Linked DNA regions of Callithrix jacchus. The protein of the gene in region 3 interacts with the protein of the main gene of each other region in a biochemical or structural test. Links are inferred from orthologs where the notes say so. Each region holds a gene or a part of one and is shown on either strand. Other genes may lie near its edges.

Region 1 (5,032 bases), on a different chromosome or scaffold from region 3:
TCTGCTTTCTCTGGGTCCCCTTAGGGTGCAGACCCTACTCCATCCCTCCCTGTGAGCACCACGTCAACGGCTCCCGGCCCCCATGCACGGGGGAGGGCGACACCCCCAAGTGTAGCAAGAGCTGCGAGCCTGGCTACAGCCCAACCTACAAGCAGGACAAGCACTACGGTAAGGGGCGGGAACAGCCTGGGAGCCGCTGCGGGGAAGAGGGCAGGGCCCAAGAGCCCTAGGATGGAGACGGCAGCGGGGGTGATTCAGCAGCACACAGTGCACCTTCTGCCTGATCCACTGTGAACTCAGCCTCCACCCTCCCAACCTGGAAGGGACCAAAGCTGTCATTTTATAAGAGAAGGCATGTCCTGGAGTCCTGGGTACCTTGGCCTGTTCTGGGGCCTCGTGCTCACGGCTCCCCTCTTCCTCCTGAGCTTCCAGCCTTAGCCTCTTCCTTACTTCCTCTGGGGAGCCTGCAATGAACCCCCTGGGTGGGCAGGTCCCTTTGATGCAGTCTTCCCCTAGAGGCCCCCCAGGAATCAGTGAGTGGCGCGGCAGGAGGCACTGTCACTGCGCTCCCCAACCCCTGGCTCGGTCCATTTTCCAGGATACGATTCCTACAGCGTCTCAAACAATGAGAGGGACATCATGGCCGAGATCTACAAAAACGGCCCTGTGGAGGGAGCCTTCTCTGTGTACGCAGACTTCCTGCTGTACAAGTCAGGTGCGTGCTGATGTCCGACAGCAGCGGTGGGTGGGGGTCAGGGGAGGTGGGTTCAGGTAGGCCAGTAGGACTTGATCGGGGCAGGCAGGTGAGGGGCTGGGGAGAGGGCTGTGTGGGGCCCTTACAATTCTGTCTACCTTCTGTGCCACTTGCCTTTCATCTGTGTTGTGCACAGAGAATTCTGGAGGCATCTTGGCTAGTTCTTTCCCATCCCTTAGGAGCCAGCTCACATGTCTTCTCTGTGGAGGTGTCCCCTCGCTGGCGGCTGGCCACACCTGCCCTTGCCGTCATGGCGTTCCATTCTTTCCCAGCATGTTCTCCTTATAAGGGCAGGTCTTCCTTGTCTGCACTGGGTGACACACTTTATTCATCTGTGTCTTTGCAAAGGTGTAGATCATGTGTCACCCTCGTGCATGAACACACAGGGAGGACCTTGCCCTGGGCAGTGCCATAGGGACTCGAACGAAGGAAACTGGATAGTCTTTACCCCCAAGTACTGTCTTAGAAATCTCTCCTCCAGTAGGCTGGGCACGGTGGGTCGTGCCTGTAACCCCACACTTTGGGTGGCTGAGATGGGCAGATCATGAGGTCGTGAGATCAAGACCATCCCGGCCAACATGGTGAAACCCCATCTCTACTAAAATACAAAAAATGAGCTAGGCATGGTGGTGTGCACCTGTAGTCCCAGCTAGTCACTACTCAGGTGGCTAAGGCTGGGGAATTGCTTGAACCCAGGAGGCGGAGGTTACAGTGAACTGAAATCAGGCCACTGCACCCCAGCCTGGGCAACAGAGCAGGACTCCATCTCAAACAAATATCTTGCTGCAGAAGCAGTCTTTGCTGAGTCTCATTAATATTTTGCTAGATTGGAAACTCCAGAGCTCTCAGCTCTTATAAAACAGTTTGACAAAGGAAAATGATTCTGGCAAGAAAAAAATGACTAAAGATGGTGGTTCTTAGCACAGTCCTCGCCCATATTGTTAAAAAATGCGTTTCTATTTGACAGTGATTTCCCTGCTGGGGCGAACCTGGTTGGGCAGCGCTGAGCATCTTAGCTGGCCTCTTTCCCATCTAATATTGGCCACCACCAGCCCTCCCTTTTCTCCTCTGTCACCTCTCCAGGGTGTACCCAGAGCAGCTATTTTAAAACTTAGCGCCCAGGCTGGGGTGCAGTGGTATGATCTCAGCTCATTGCAACCTCTGCCTCTTGAGTAGCTGGGACTACAGGTGGGCACCACCATGCCCAGCTAATTTTTGATTTTTAGTAGAGACAGCGTTTCACCATGTTGGTCAGGCTGGTCTAGAACTCCTGATCCACCCGCCTCAGCCTCCCAAAGTGCTGGGATTACAGGCATGACCCTCTGCACCCGGCCTTAAAACTCTTTAAGCCATGTAACCCTTTTGACAAGCCCTTAGTTTCTCCTGCCCGGAGGGGTGCTGTGGGGCACGGGGCAGTGGCCGGGTCTCACTTCTGACCGGTTCTTCCCAACTCAGGAGTATACCAGCATGTCACTGGCGAGATGATGGGCGGCCACGCCATCCGCATCCTGGGCTGGGGCGTGGAGAATGGCACGCCCTACTGGCTGGTTGGCAACTCCTGGAACACTGACTGGGGTGACAACGGTGAGTGGTGGGGAACTGGGAGCCACACGCAGTGGCCATCTTGGCTTTCTCTGTTCTACCTGCTGCACAGCCTCAAACTGTGGACCTAGGCCAGGCTGTGAGCTCCTTCTAAATGCCAGAGGCCAGGATGGGAAGGGTGATGCGGGCGGAGGTGTGCCCCATGGTGTGAGGGCCGCGCTACTGAGCAAACAGCAGGAGCTGTCGGGGGTTAGAGACTTACTCCCAGCTTTTTTAGGGATGAGTCTGAATATACCGACCCTTGTCACATTTTAAAAGCACCTTTTTTTATTCCCAGGCTTCTTTAAAATCCTCAGAGGACAGGATCACTGTGGAATCGAATCAGAAGTGGTGGCTGGAATTCCACGCACCGATCAGTACTGGAGAAATATCTAATCTGCTGTGGTCCTGTCCTGGGGTAGTTTTCCCTGCACAGAGTCAGGGATGGGGGTAGAAATGTCTTAATCTTTGCGTCCCTGTAAGATACAGGGCCTAAAGAACTGGACTGGCCAAACCTCATATCAACCATCAGAGCTGTTTTCCAAGGAGACTCCCGGCTACCTCCGAGCCTGCTCAGTGGACTGATGGCTGCAGTGTAGACAGTTAAGCCACGTGAGCCACTGCTGCCAGCACGGAGCTCCTTTCCCCATGACTAGTGCTGTAGGGAGTGCCTGCTGCCCCATCCCTGATCCATCCATCTCCAGGAGCAAGACGGAGGCTCAGGAATAGAAAGCAGAGTTCCTATCAGGATTCAAGTTCCCCCCTCAGCAGTACCTCTAAGCAAGTAGCTTTCTACATTTGCTCCAAGATCAGAGGACAGATGGTGTTTGGAGCCCTGTGGAGAAGCCACATTCTCCCAGGGCCCCTGCATCTGTCGAGGTTTGCAGTGTCAGAAACTCTGATCTTGGCCTCAGCATGATTCTTTTTTAATAGTTTTCTTTTTCGTGCACACTGCTGGTCACGCGGATAAAGGAGTGCAACAGTGGGAGGCCGTGCTAGTTTACAGATTGCCTCCTAACAGCATGGCTCAGAACGAAACCTAGTGGCTGTGACTTGCTTCCGACCCTGATCTCTACTACCACCATGAAACTAGTGTAGGAGAAACCAGCTTTTACTGTTTTTCAAAAATTCCTGCTTCACGCTGTCAAGTTAAGGAATGCCTGTGCCAATAAAAGGTTTGTCCTTCAACTCAAAGTCGGCTCTGATGGCATCTCAGAGGTCATTTGTCACTGCCATCCTCAGCCCTGCAGAGAATCACACCCAGGGACTGCATGCCCTCAGGATTCTTGGGACCTCAGCTTAACTTCCCACTGCATCCCCATCAACCATCTGTGTAAGTCCTTGATGAGCTTGCCCTTAAGAACTAACTACAGAGCTGTGGTGGTGGTTTTTTTTTTTTTTTTGAGACAGAATCTCACTTTGTCATCGGCGATGGAGTGCAGTGGTGCAAATTCAGCTAACTGAAACCTGCACCGCCTAGGTTCTAGCTATTCTCCTGCTTCAAACTCCCGAGTAGCTGGGATTACAGGTACCCACCACCATGCCAAACTAATTTTTATATTTTTAAGTATATACAAGGTTTGACCATGTTGGCCAGGCCAATTTCAAACTCCTGGCCTCAAGCTGGTCCACCCATCTCAGCTTCCCAAAGTGCTGGGATTACAGGGTGAGCCACCGTGCCTGGCCTCTATTTTTTATTAGCCACAAATCCAGCAGTGACCTGAGAATTCTCATGAAACAGGCCTGGTATCTTGGTGATCTCACATAACCAAGATGCCATCCCGTGGAGGGCCACATCCCCCAGATGCCTTCCAGAGGGGCCGAGTCAGCCTGTACACAGTATTTTGAATCTGTATGCCACTGGTTTGCATTGCTGGTCAAGAAGTCTCGTGCTCTGCATAGGCCTGGTTTAGAATCGTTTTACACCAGTTCTTGCAAGAGTAGAGGAATCTCGAAGAACCAGCGGTCACTCTACTGTCCTGTCAAGATACACCTCAGTATCACCCTTCCCTACTGAGGCTGGATGGGGCTAGCTCTTTCCAAAAGCATTCAAGTTTTGCTTCTGATGTGACCCAGAAGTTAGGAATCAGAAGCTCAATCAAATAAGCTCTGAAACTCTGAGAAACATTGCAGGGAACAGTTGTGAGGCCCATCACGGCACTTGAGAGATGCTTAACAAGGGTTACCAGAGCCGCAGATTCATAACCGCTTATTCTTCCAGCTTCTCCTAGAATATATTCATAACCTCAATAAAGTTCTACCTGCTCCCAGATTGGGTTGAATCATTCCACTCACACTGCCTCCCTCACCTCCATCGAGTACGCACCTGCAACTCCATCCCTGCCTGGAGCTAGTGAAGTGACAGAAGGAACTGTGGGGCATTTCAACCTCAGCTTAGGGCTGTCAGAAAAACCTGCCTTGCAGTGTCTGTCTGGGACACAGCTCAGTGCTTCAGTACACCTCAGATTACCCCAGTAACATGACAGGTGGAGGTAACAATACCTTTTCAGTGTTTACCCATAGAAAGGCTGCTTTGACACACTCCAGAATGGAAATCGAAGTATAGATAGGCAATCCAAGTCTCACTGTGTCACCCAGGCTGGAGTGCAGTGGCGCAGTTTTGGCTCACTGCAACCTCTGCCTCCTGAGTTCAGGCGATCCTCCTGCATAGCTGGCACCTGCCACCACACCTGGCTA
Region 2 (4,606 bases), on a different chromosome or scaffold from region 3:
GTTTGGAGAACAGCAGCTCCCAGAGGTGTCAGGCCTTCCCTTGCCATGGTTTCTCTTCCATCTCTGTCTGCAGATTCACTTGGTGAGCATGAGTTGGGTTTCAGGTAGTTATAAAGAGCATCAGTTACATATTTTCCTCTAGAATGAAGAAGAATGGAGGAGAGCAGTGTGGGAGAAGAACATGAAGATGATTGAACTGCACAATCATGAATACAACCAAGGGAAACACAGCTTCACAATGGCCATGAACGCCTTTGGAGACATGGTGAGTGTGCTGTGGACTGCTGAACTCCTGTGCTTCCCCTCCTCCCTTTTGTACCAAAGTAATCTCTTGCTCTGCAACATTTTGTTTACTTTTCCTTGAAGACCAATGAAGAATTCAGGCAGGTGATGAATGGCTTTCAAAACCGTAAGCCCAGGAACGGGAAGGTGTTCCAGGAACCTCTGTTTCATGAGGCCCCCAGATCTGTGGATTGGAGAGAGAAAGGCTACGTGACTCCTGTGAAGAATCAGGTGAGACAGTGTTAGGTTCAGACCTCCCATCTTCCCAGGAAAGCCAAGAAGCGATTGACATCTTTGTTTTGGTAGACTTTAAAGCGATGTGCAGTTCACTTTTTAAGAGTATTCAGATATGTGAGCTGTAAAGTCTTACTATTTGTTTTTGCAAATGACAGCTTTTTAAATTTCCTCTTTAGGGTCAGTGTGGTTCTTGTTGGGCTTTTAGCGCGACTGGTGCTCTTGAAGGACAGATGTTCCGGAAAACTGGGAAACTTGTCTCACTGAGTGAACAGAATCTGGTAGACTGCTCTGGGCCTCAAGGCAATCAGGGCTGCGATGGTGGCCTAATGGATTATGCCTTCCAGTATGTTCAGGAGAACGGAGGCCTGGACTCTGAGGAATCCTATCCATATGAGGCAACAGTAAGTGGAGCTCTTCATCTTATCATTCCAGCTCAGCTTCTGGAAAGTGGAACACTTTCAGAGATAACAGATACCTTTTTCAGAATTAATATATTAGGGCTGGATGGGGTGGCTCACACCTGTAATCCCAGCACTTTAGGAGGCTGAGCCGGGCAGATCGCTTGAGCTCAGGACCAGCCTAGGCAACAAGGTAAAACCCTGACTCTATCAAAAATAATAAAATTAGCCGTCTGGGGTGATGTGCATCTGTGGTACCAGCTAGGCTGAGGTAGGAGGATTGCTTAAGCCTGGGAGGTGGTTATGCAAATGCACTCCTGTCTGAGTGACAGAGTGAGACCCTGTCTCAAAAAAAAAGAGGGAAAAAAAAAATTCACAGATGGTAGAATCTATCTGCAAATTGTCAGTACTGTCATTATAAATTATTAAGCCTTTGTGCAGTCCGGTGATTAGATGGTTAACAGACAACTGTTCTTGCTTCTATGTAATATGAAGAGTATACAAACCATTCTACATCTACACATTTCTTTATTGTGAAAAATTTCTTATGGTAATAAACCTGGGGTCTCATGGAAGAGACTGGAGCCAATTTTCAGTTTCAAATTAACTAACAGCATTTCACGCCCTGGGATGATTTATAACAATGGTGACTTGGAAATCCTAAGCTGCAAACTGCTGAGTGTTGTGGTTCTAACTCCTGTTGCCCAGGAGAGCAGTAATCAAGTCCTTTTTGCCCTTTATCTTTGAAAGGAAGAATCCTGTAAGTACAATCCCGAGTATTCTGTTGCTAATGACACTGGCTTTGTGGACATCCCTAAGCTGGAGAAGGCCCTGATGAAGGCAGTTGCAACTGTGGGGCCCATTTCTGTTGCTATTGATGCAGGTCACGAGTCCTTCCAGTTTTATAAAGAAGGTAAGTATTTTTTTCTTTGTAGAAATTGATGCAGAAAGAGAGTATGACATACTAGCATGATAGACTCTGGTTTGTAAAGTTCAATGTAGATACTTAGGTGCTTAGCATCATAGCTATTAATTCTGTACATGCAGTATTTATACCTGATGTTTCCATTTGACATGTTGAACACATCTCCATGAATATAAGTACTTTGTAACTTTTTATAAATTACAAATACCCAGCTATATTATTTACTGGGTAGTTTAATATACTTAAATATTCTGTGATTGTCGAATTTTTGTAATTTTTACAAAGATTTTACTTCTGTTTTTAAATCCGAGAAGAGCCTTTTGATTCAAGGATTTTGGTGTTCTATGCTGTGTTTTTAGATTGATAGCCTAGAGTAGAATTACAAGCTTTCAAAGAATGGTCCTTTATTCCCTTAGCAAAGTCTTTATATGAAGGATTTATGTTGATTTCTATTTCTGCTAGTTGTAGATGAGAGCCTAAATCCCTAGCCTTGACAACAATAGATCTAATTGTTAAGTACTATCTAGAATGTGTGTCACTTCACTGAATTCAGAGATGCCTCATTCCCTGTGGGTGACAGGATGGGTTACTGTCATGGTCCTCTGCAGCTTCTCACCCCAGCCTTCATTTTACTATCCCAGGCATTTATTTTGAGCCAGAATGTAGCAGTGAAGACATGGATCATGGTGTGCTGGTGGTTGGCTATGGATTTGAAAGAACAGGATCAGATAACAGTAAATATTGGCTGGTGAAGAACAGGTATAAATTGCCAATAATACTTATATTTGAAATTCAAAAGAGAGTACTTATTTGCAATCAGTGTTTGTATAGTTTCACATGCCCTTAGGCATACTTCTGAAATCCCAGAACTCTAAGTTGAACATAGAATGTTAATGTTGGATTATAAAGGTAAGGATGCTGGGTGTATTAATATAGTATTTGTACCATTGTACAAATGTGTATCTAAATCTGAACATTTTCTTAATTCTGAGGCATATCTGGCTGCAAAGACATCCTATTCCTTTCCTGTCTCTGATTGGCAGTTCTGTGAAATGTCATAGTTTTGAGACTGGGATGGAAGTTATGTGCAGATTCAGCCTCAATAATTTTTTAAGGATAAACAGGAACATGGCCTCTCTTGATTCTTTCTGTTAAGTCTGTGGCCTCTGGCACAGTGTTTAAGTTGGATGTTCCTGTTAATAACCCTTTGGGCTTTATTCTTTCTCTGACACGGAAAACCTGCTGTTTTTTCAGCTGGGGTGAAAAATGGGGCATGGATGGTTACATAAAGATGGCCAAAGACCGGAAAAACCACTGTGGAATTGCCTCAGCAGCCAGCTACCCCACTGTATGAGCTGATGGACAGTGATGAGGAAGGACTTGACTGGGGATGGTGCATGCATGGGAGTTCATCTCAATCTTCCAGCCCCTGCTGTGATGGATACACACTCGAATCATTGAAGATCCAAGTGTGATTTGAATTCTGTGATATTTTCACACTGGTAAATGTTACCTCTATTTTAATTACTCTATAAATAGGTTTATATTATTGATTTGCTTACTGACTTTGCATTTTTGTTTTTAAAAGGATGTGTAAATTTTTACCTGATTAAATAAATGTAATTTCAAATGTAGTGGCAAGGCTTCTTTCTATTTTTGATGCACTGAATTTTTGTGTAATAAAAAACATAATTAGGCTGTAAGCCCTACCTGCTGCCAGTGGCTCTCTAGGAGGAAGAGTGGGCGACCTTCTGGGTCTTCTAATTACAAACGTACAGATCTCACATCAGCTGCCCAGTGGCTGTGTCTGAGTCTGACTCAATCGTTGATTGGAGCAAAATTTGAAAATGATCTCTGAGGACAAAGGAAAATTGTTTGAATAAAGAAAAAAATTCACTTTTTAGAAAGGTGAACAGACATATATATGATTTTAATACTAGAAAAAGACCTTAGTGATTGTGTTTATTTCACCCAAGTTGGTTGCATCTTTAGTCAAGTTACAGGACAAAGGTCTCAGAGCCTATTTCTGGATCATCTTATCCCACTGCTGGTGAAGACCCTGTTGACACTTTGCAGTCGAGTTGGGTTAGGAACGAGTGCATTGCCAAGGCTGTTTGTTTTTGGGTCCTCAAGGGATGAGGAATAAACTTCAGGATTTCAGGCTGGGATTCAGAAATGGTGCTCTGGTGTCAGAAGGCAAAAGACAGGTGAGAGGCTCAGAAATGATCATCTGTCCCCCATTTAGAGCAAATTACCTGTAAACACCTGAATTACTGCTTAAATAAAAAAACTTCCCACATTGTACTAGCTAAACAGCCCATACTTCCATCACCTGTGTGTTTTCAGAAGTCTCATGTTCCAACTGAAGGAAATAGAAAGAACAGGTGAGACTGTTTAGTGACTAGACTACGTAATCCCAGAGGAGGGAAACCAGATGCCCAGTGGAGTCTCAGCTCAGAAAGCATGCAGCAGGGTCTGTCCAGTTCTGTCTGGATTGGACCATGTGCCATGCTGGATTCTCATGTGCCCTTTCTGAGTAGTTGCTAAAATTTCAAAGTTTTTGGCCTAAAATGACAAATATGGCATCTGTGAAATTCTTTGGGTTTTGTAATAAAAGTCACCAGTGGTAGCAAGAAGATTTAGGGAGGTTCCCAAGCTAAATCCCTCGTTCAGGTTGAAGCTTAGATTTGAGACAACTAGAATTTATATACAATACCCACTGCGTGCTGGTCATCACTACTATGGAAGAGACACACCCTGACCT
Region 3 (5,753 bases):
CCCATCTCTACTAAAAATACAAAAAATTAGCAAGGCATGGTGATACATGCCTGTAGTCCCAGCTACTCAGGAGGCTGAGGCAGGAAGATCACTTGAACCCAGGAGGAAGAGGTTGCACTTAGCCGAGATTTTGCCACTGTACTCCAGCCTGGGTGACAGAGAGAGACTCCGTCTCACACACTCAAAAAAAAAATACTCACTTGAATATTTTTTCTATTATGTTCCAGATATCTCAGTTTTCCCGACTACCCTGTAAAACTCTTAGAGGCCAGGGGCCATATCTTACAGCCCTTATGTAGCTTCCATAATAATTAGCATAATGTTAGACACTTAAGAGACTTACAAGAAATGCACCTACCGTGAAATGATTCATTGGTATTCATTTCCTATATTTATTTATTTATTTATTTTGAGACAGAGTATTGCTTTGTTGGCCAGGCTGGAGTGCAGTGACGTGGTCACGGCTCACTGCATCCTCAACTTCCTGGGTGCAAGTGGTCCTTCTGCCTAAGCCTCCCAAGTAGCTGGGACTACAGGCGTGTACCACTGGCTATTTTTTTGTATTTTGTGTTTGGGTAGAGATGGGATTTTGTCATGATGCCCTTAAACTCCCCAGATCAAGCAATCTGTCCGCCTCAGCCTCCTAAAATGCCTAGGTTACAGCCATGAGCCACCGCACCCAGCTCTCTAATGACTTCAAAATTTTTTAATTTTTTGAGATGGAGTCTCGCTCTGTCATCCAGGCTAAAGTGCAGTGGCACGATCTTGGCTCACTGCAACTTCTGCCTCCCAGGCTCAAGCGATTCTCCTGCCTTAGCCTCCCAAGTAGCTGGGATTACAGGTGCCTGCCACCATGTCCAGCTAATTTTTGTATTATTAGTAGAGACAGGTTTTGCCATGTTGGCCAGGCTGATTTCTAACTCCTGACCTCACGTGATCCACCCGCCTTGGCTTCCTATGTTGACTTACATGTGAGGCTGGTGCTTCTACAGAGAAGACAAACTTACCACACTCTCTCCACTCACTTCTACAGAGAAGACAAACTTACCACACTCTCTCCACTCAGCGTATTTCCCTTTCCTAACTAATTTCCTCTGTGTTCTGCCACTGTGTGGTGGAGAGGGCAGGCCGTCAAACACTGAGGGTGAGTTAACTTCTTAACTAGGTGACTCTTAATCTCTTTGAATCTTGGTTTCATCATCTATAAGATAGACATAATACTTCCCTGCCTGTCCCAGGGGCTATGAAGATCAAATGAGACTTTGAATGGAGGTCAGATCAAGTTTTTAAAACTGCAAAGCCTCTTTCTGGGGCGAGGGAGCTGTTGTTAATACTTATCTCTCATTCCACCTCTCTGATGAAGTTGGAGTTCAAGGGAAGCAGCCCACATCTACACACACTTTCAAATTAATTTTATAATTTAAGATGAGACTCACAGATAGGTGTTTTTTTTTTTAGGCACTTCAGTAACTAAGAACAAATCATACAGATAGGTGTTATTAACAACGCAAGGCCTTCTGGTAGCTTCTTATTTTAAAAATAAATAGTTCTTGCTAATCAAGTGATAGGCTTTTAAAAATCATTAAAAATTTCTGCACTCTCTCTATTTCAAATTTATTTTTCTGTATCTTCCTACAGCTCTGATTCTTAGAGAGTCTCAGGGGGGCTTTTTTAGGGTCGGAGATGATTTTAGCCACAAATCTGAAGTAAACAATTGTGTTGCCTCACCTATGCACATTTCTTTTTCATTTTCAAGTCCTTTTTATGCACATTATCTCAGTCCTTTCAGCTCTGAAATTGATGGTGTTACCTTCATTTTTCAAATGAAATAGCCAGGTTTTATTTTTGGCAACCTGACTTTTAAAGCCCCGTCTCTTACTGGCCTCATAGGATGCCATATATCTCTGGTCCTGCAGGCAAGTGAGGTCATGGAGAGCAGCAGCAGCAGCAGCAATTGGGAGCCTGGTAGAAATGCAGAATCTCAGACCTACCCCAGGCCCCCTGAATCAGGTTTATCAAGACTTGCAAGTGATTCATGTGCACCTTCAAGTTTGAGAACATTGATCTGATAGGGGAATTCACATGAAGGAATTACTGACTTAATATCATCTTCTCCCAGAAAGAAAAATCTTCAGGATATTTATTCATTAAAAGAAAAAAAGAACTCTTGAAATAGAAATAATTAGTCCCTAAGAATGAGTGATGGGATTCTAGGCATCTGGCCCCTTAGAGAGCTTTCTAGTTTCCCGAATATACAAGAGCCCAACTCTTATAATCACACAAAAAGCTGATCTTGTTTGCCAAGCTGTCATAGAATGATGTTTCAGAGAGAAAAAACAAGAATAATACTATTAAGTAGTCTCTACACCTTCTTAGAATTTTGCCAATTATCCTGAAAATGTCCTTTTTTCTGACACAAGAAAATATGGCAACAAACTAAAAAGCTAAAATAATAATTTGTACATGTTTTTCTTTCACAAAATATGCAAATAAATGTTTACTATATAGATGATATCTAATCAAACAGCACTTAGAAAAATATATCAGGACTGGGTGTGGTGGCTCATACCTGTAATCACAATATTTTGGGAAGCTTAGGTGAGCAGATGGCTTGAGCCCGGGAATTCAAGACCAGTCTAGGCAACAAAATAAAACTCCATCTCCAAAAACAAAACAAAACTAATCCCCAAAATCAGCCAAGTGTAGTGGCATGTGTCTGTAATCCAGCTACTCATGAGGCTGAGTGGGGAGGATTGCTTGAGCTCGAGAAGTTGAGGTTACAGCGAGCTGTGATCACACTATTGCACTCCAGCCTGGATGACAGAGTGAGACCCCGTCTCTTAAAAACAAAGCAAAACAAAACAGAAGGAAATAAAAATGTATCAATCTGCTAACAACATTGAGTTCTATTTTTCCATATATAATTTGGCAGCCTATGATACTTTGGAGTCACTAGAGACTGTCACTTCTCTTCTCCATTTGTTTAATCATCCTTTAACTATGAAAAGACTAAAACAGTGTCTATTTAAGCAAACGTGTATGAAGTTTGTAAGTAGATTGCCTTTACAATGTTATTCTTCATTCAATCGATTTTTAAAAAATTCCCCGCAGTGGGTTCCAAGTCTACTTAATCAAATTATTAACAACCTTAGTCTTCAATTACACGTTGGCTTCACTTGGTGAGATTAGAAAAGTTTCATCAGAAACTGAATTAGTAATCCTAGAATCATATCTTGTAAGAGCTTTAAAGATGATACAATACAAATTATTCTTTTACAAATGGAGAAAATGAAGCTCAGAGAAGAAATGTGATTTGCTCAAGGTCACACTCACAGTTTGGGGGTTATTTGAGGTTTCATCTGAAAAGAAGAAACAACTTTATTTCATCATAGTTGAAAAGAAACCTGAACAAAGCCATACACATCCTGAAGTTCTGGTTTTCATGTTCAACCACATCCTTTCCACAGTGACAACCTATGAATCAAGATTTCAGCTCAGACTTTTTCCTGAATGGAATCAACTCACCTTATCAACAATCTCCTGAATTTCTGGAGTGGCGGGTTTGGCCTCAGATAAGCCTCCGGGTATCATTTTGACTGACTGCTTCTTTGCTAGGCAGAATGTTGGAACCAAAGTGAACAGGGAAGCATGGAGACTTGGGTTTTAAAAGAGGTGTTCATTAGCTCCGCCTATAAAATGCTTTATTTTCCACAGAGAGCAAAGAGGCATGGGGAAAATGAGTATGCCTCCAAGCAAATCTTCTTGCTTCCTGGACAGAATATGCTACGTGGAATTTGGAGGAAAGAGGGTTGATGGATGAACAAATGGGCAAGTACAGGAGTCAAGTCCTAACAAGATGAAACGCCCCTGCCTTCTCTTTGACAATGGTTCCATCCTGTTGCATCATCTGAACTATGAAATCTGAAGCCACAACCAGAATTTCCAAATGTTTTAAAACTTGTAGCACAATTTTTTAAAAGCAATACTTACTAATAATGTCAGAGTAGTTTAGAATTTCCTTGACTTTAGAAATAGAGCAAAAGGTTCTATCTGGAGGACATTGGTTGGATATGTGTTCTTTACTCTTATTTAAATATCTAGAAATGCTTAACATACAGAAAAACACAAAGAAGAAAATGACAAATGTCTGTATTCCTGTCACTCAGAGTTAAAACTTTGAACCTTTTTGTCATATTTACTTGCTGTCTTTTATTTTGGTAGTTATTTTTAAGAAATAAAATATTTCAGTTATGGAGGAAGCCCTGTACCCCACGCAACCTTGCTCTCCAGAGGGCAAATTGCACTGTGAGTTGATATCCTTCCAGGCCATTTTTATACTTTACTTGTTGTGTCTTTAAAATTTCTCTTAAATTGTATGCTAAACATATTCTATTTATGGTTTTTTTTCTATTCAACATGTTTTTGAGCCTTTTCATGTTGATACACAGATAGATAATCTACAGATAAATCAATCCAGTTCATTTCCTTTAACTGTGATATGCGATTCTGTGCTAGACCTAGCTATTTATTGTACCTGTCTAATTGGTCTTCGCTAGCTCATATTTTACATACTCATTTCCCTATTGATGACGATTTTGGTTGTTTCTCGTGTTTCATTCTTATAAACAATGTTGCATGTTTTCCCCTTTTGTATGTGAGGGCTTCTGCAGGCAACTTATCTAGAAGCAAAATTGCCATGTTGTGTGAATATTTATGTATATAATTTTATTCAATTTTGGGAATATATAATACATACACAGGATAAAAATGTTTGGAAGGAACCAGGCTTTACAATGTAAGGAATTATTCACTCACTTAATTCCCCAGACACCCTTCTCCTCTCCAGAGTCAACTGTTGGGACCAGCTTTTTGTGTATTCTTCAGAGATATTCTTTACACATAGAAATATAAAAATAATTGGCTACACACACATACATACACATACATGTATATAGGTTTTCTTCTATACAAATGCTATTCTACATAAACGATTATACTATTTGTTTTATTCCTAACACTATATTTTAGAGATTGTTCTATATCATGATACAGAGATTTGTTTCTTTTGTTTTTTCTGAGACAGAGTCTTGCTCTGTTACCCAGGCTGTAGTGTAGTGGTGTGATCTTGGCTCACTGCAACCTCTGCATCCTGGGTTCAGGCAATTCTCCTGCCTCAGCTTCCCAGGTAGCTGGGATTACAGGCACCTGCCACCAAGCCCGGCTAATTTTTGTATATTTTTAAGTAGACACGGGCTTTCACCATATTGCCCAAGCTGGTCTCAAGCTCCTGACCTTAGGTGATCCGCCCCCCTTGTCCTCCCAAAGTGCAGGATTACAGGTGTGAGCCACTGCGCCCAGCCGCTTGTTTCTTCGTAATGATGTTTGACAGGCACTTGGCAAATTCTTGAAGCTGGGTGAGTGTCTTATAGGCTAAACTGAGGGGCGTTACATAGGTATCTCTCCACTGAATGCCTTTACCCTGTGGTTTAAGAAGAACAGTGAACGTGGCTGACAAGGTGCTCCTTTAATAAGCCACAGGTCGTCTGAAGACTTTGGTTCAGCTTTCATAGGCCACTGGTTCTATTCATCTTCATGTGACCTCCCCAAGTCAAGTCCTTTCATATTCAGGCCCCTGACTTTTTTCAAGCCTGCAGCCCATTTTTAGTTCTTCACTTACATCCTAGTCAGGCTATCCTTACTGAATCTCCCCGGTGGTAGGGGATATGGTAAACAGCAAGTCTACTGTTCTCTTT

What was found. The genes of interacting proteins can lie anywhere in the genome.
Region 1: the proteins of CSTA (region 3) and CTSB form a complex in vitro, tested with the Homo sapiens proteins (3 studies listed by BioGRID and IntAct, with this or other methods). The link is inferred for Callithrix jacchus from reciprocal best matches to the Homo sapiens genes CSTA and CTSB.
Region 2: the proteins of CSTA (region 3) and CTSL form a complex in vitro, tested with the Homo sapiens proteins (2 studies listed by BioGRID). The link is inferred for Callithrix jacchus from reciprocal best matches to the Homo sapiens genes CSTA and CTSL.

What each region holds. Positions count from the first base shown.
Region 1 is NC_133514.1:10,220,331-10,225,362, forward strand, and holds the end of CTSB (cathepsin B), read left to right. Parts: intron 1-24; coding exon 25-168; intron 169-598; coding exon 599-715; intron 716-2,209; coding exon 2,210-2,338; intron 2,339-2,633; coding exon 2,634-2,731; 3' UTR 2,732-4,605; downstream 4,606-5,032. UniProt on the Homo sapiens protein: Thiol protease which is believed to participate in intracellular degradation and turnover of proteins. Cleaves matrix extracellular phosphoglycoprotein MEPE. Involved in the solubilization of cross-linked TG/thyroglobulin in the thyroid follicle lumen.
Region 2 is NC_133502.1:75,731,682-75,736,287, reverse strand, and holds the end of CTSL (procathepsin L), read left to right. Parts: intron 1-142; coding exon 143-265; intron 266-366; coding exon 367-513; intron 514-695; coding exon 696-920; intron 921-1,667; coding exon 1,668-1,830; intron 1,831-2,483; coding exon 2,484-2,601; intron 2,602-3,096; coding exon 3,097-3,196; 3' UTR 3,197-3,476; downstream 3,477-4,606. UniProt on the Homo sapiens protein: Thiol protease important for the overall degradation of proteins in lysosomes. Plays a critical for normal cellular functions such as general protein turnover, antigen processing and bone remodeling.
Region 3 is NC_133516.1:80,680,424-80,686,176, forward strand, and holds the start of CSTA (cystatin-A), read right to left. Parts: upstream 3,641-5,753; 5' UTR 3,592-3,640; coding exon 3,526-3,591; intron 1-3,525. UniProt on the Homo sapiens protein: This is an intracellular thiol proteinase inhibitor. Has an important role in desmosome-mediated cell-cell adhesion in the lower levels of the epidermis.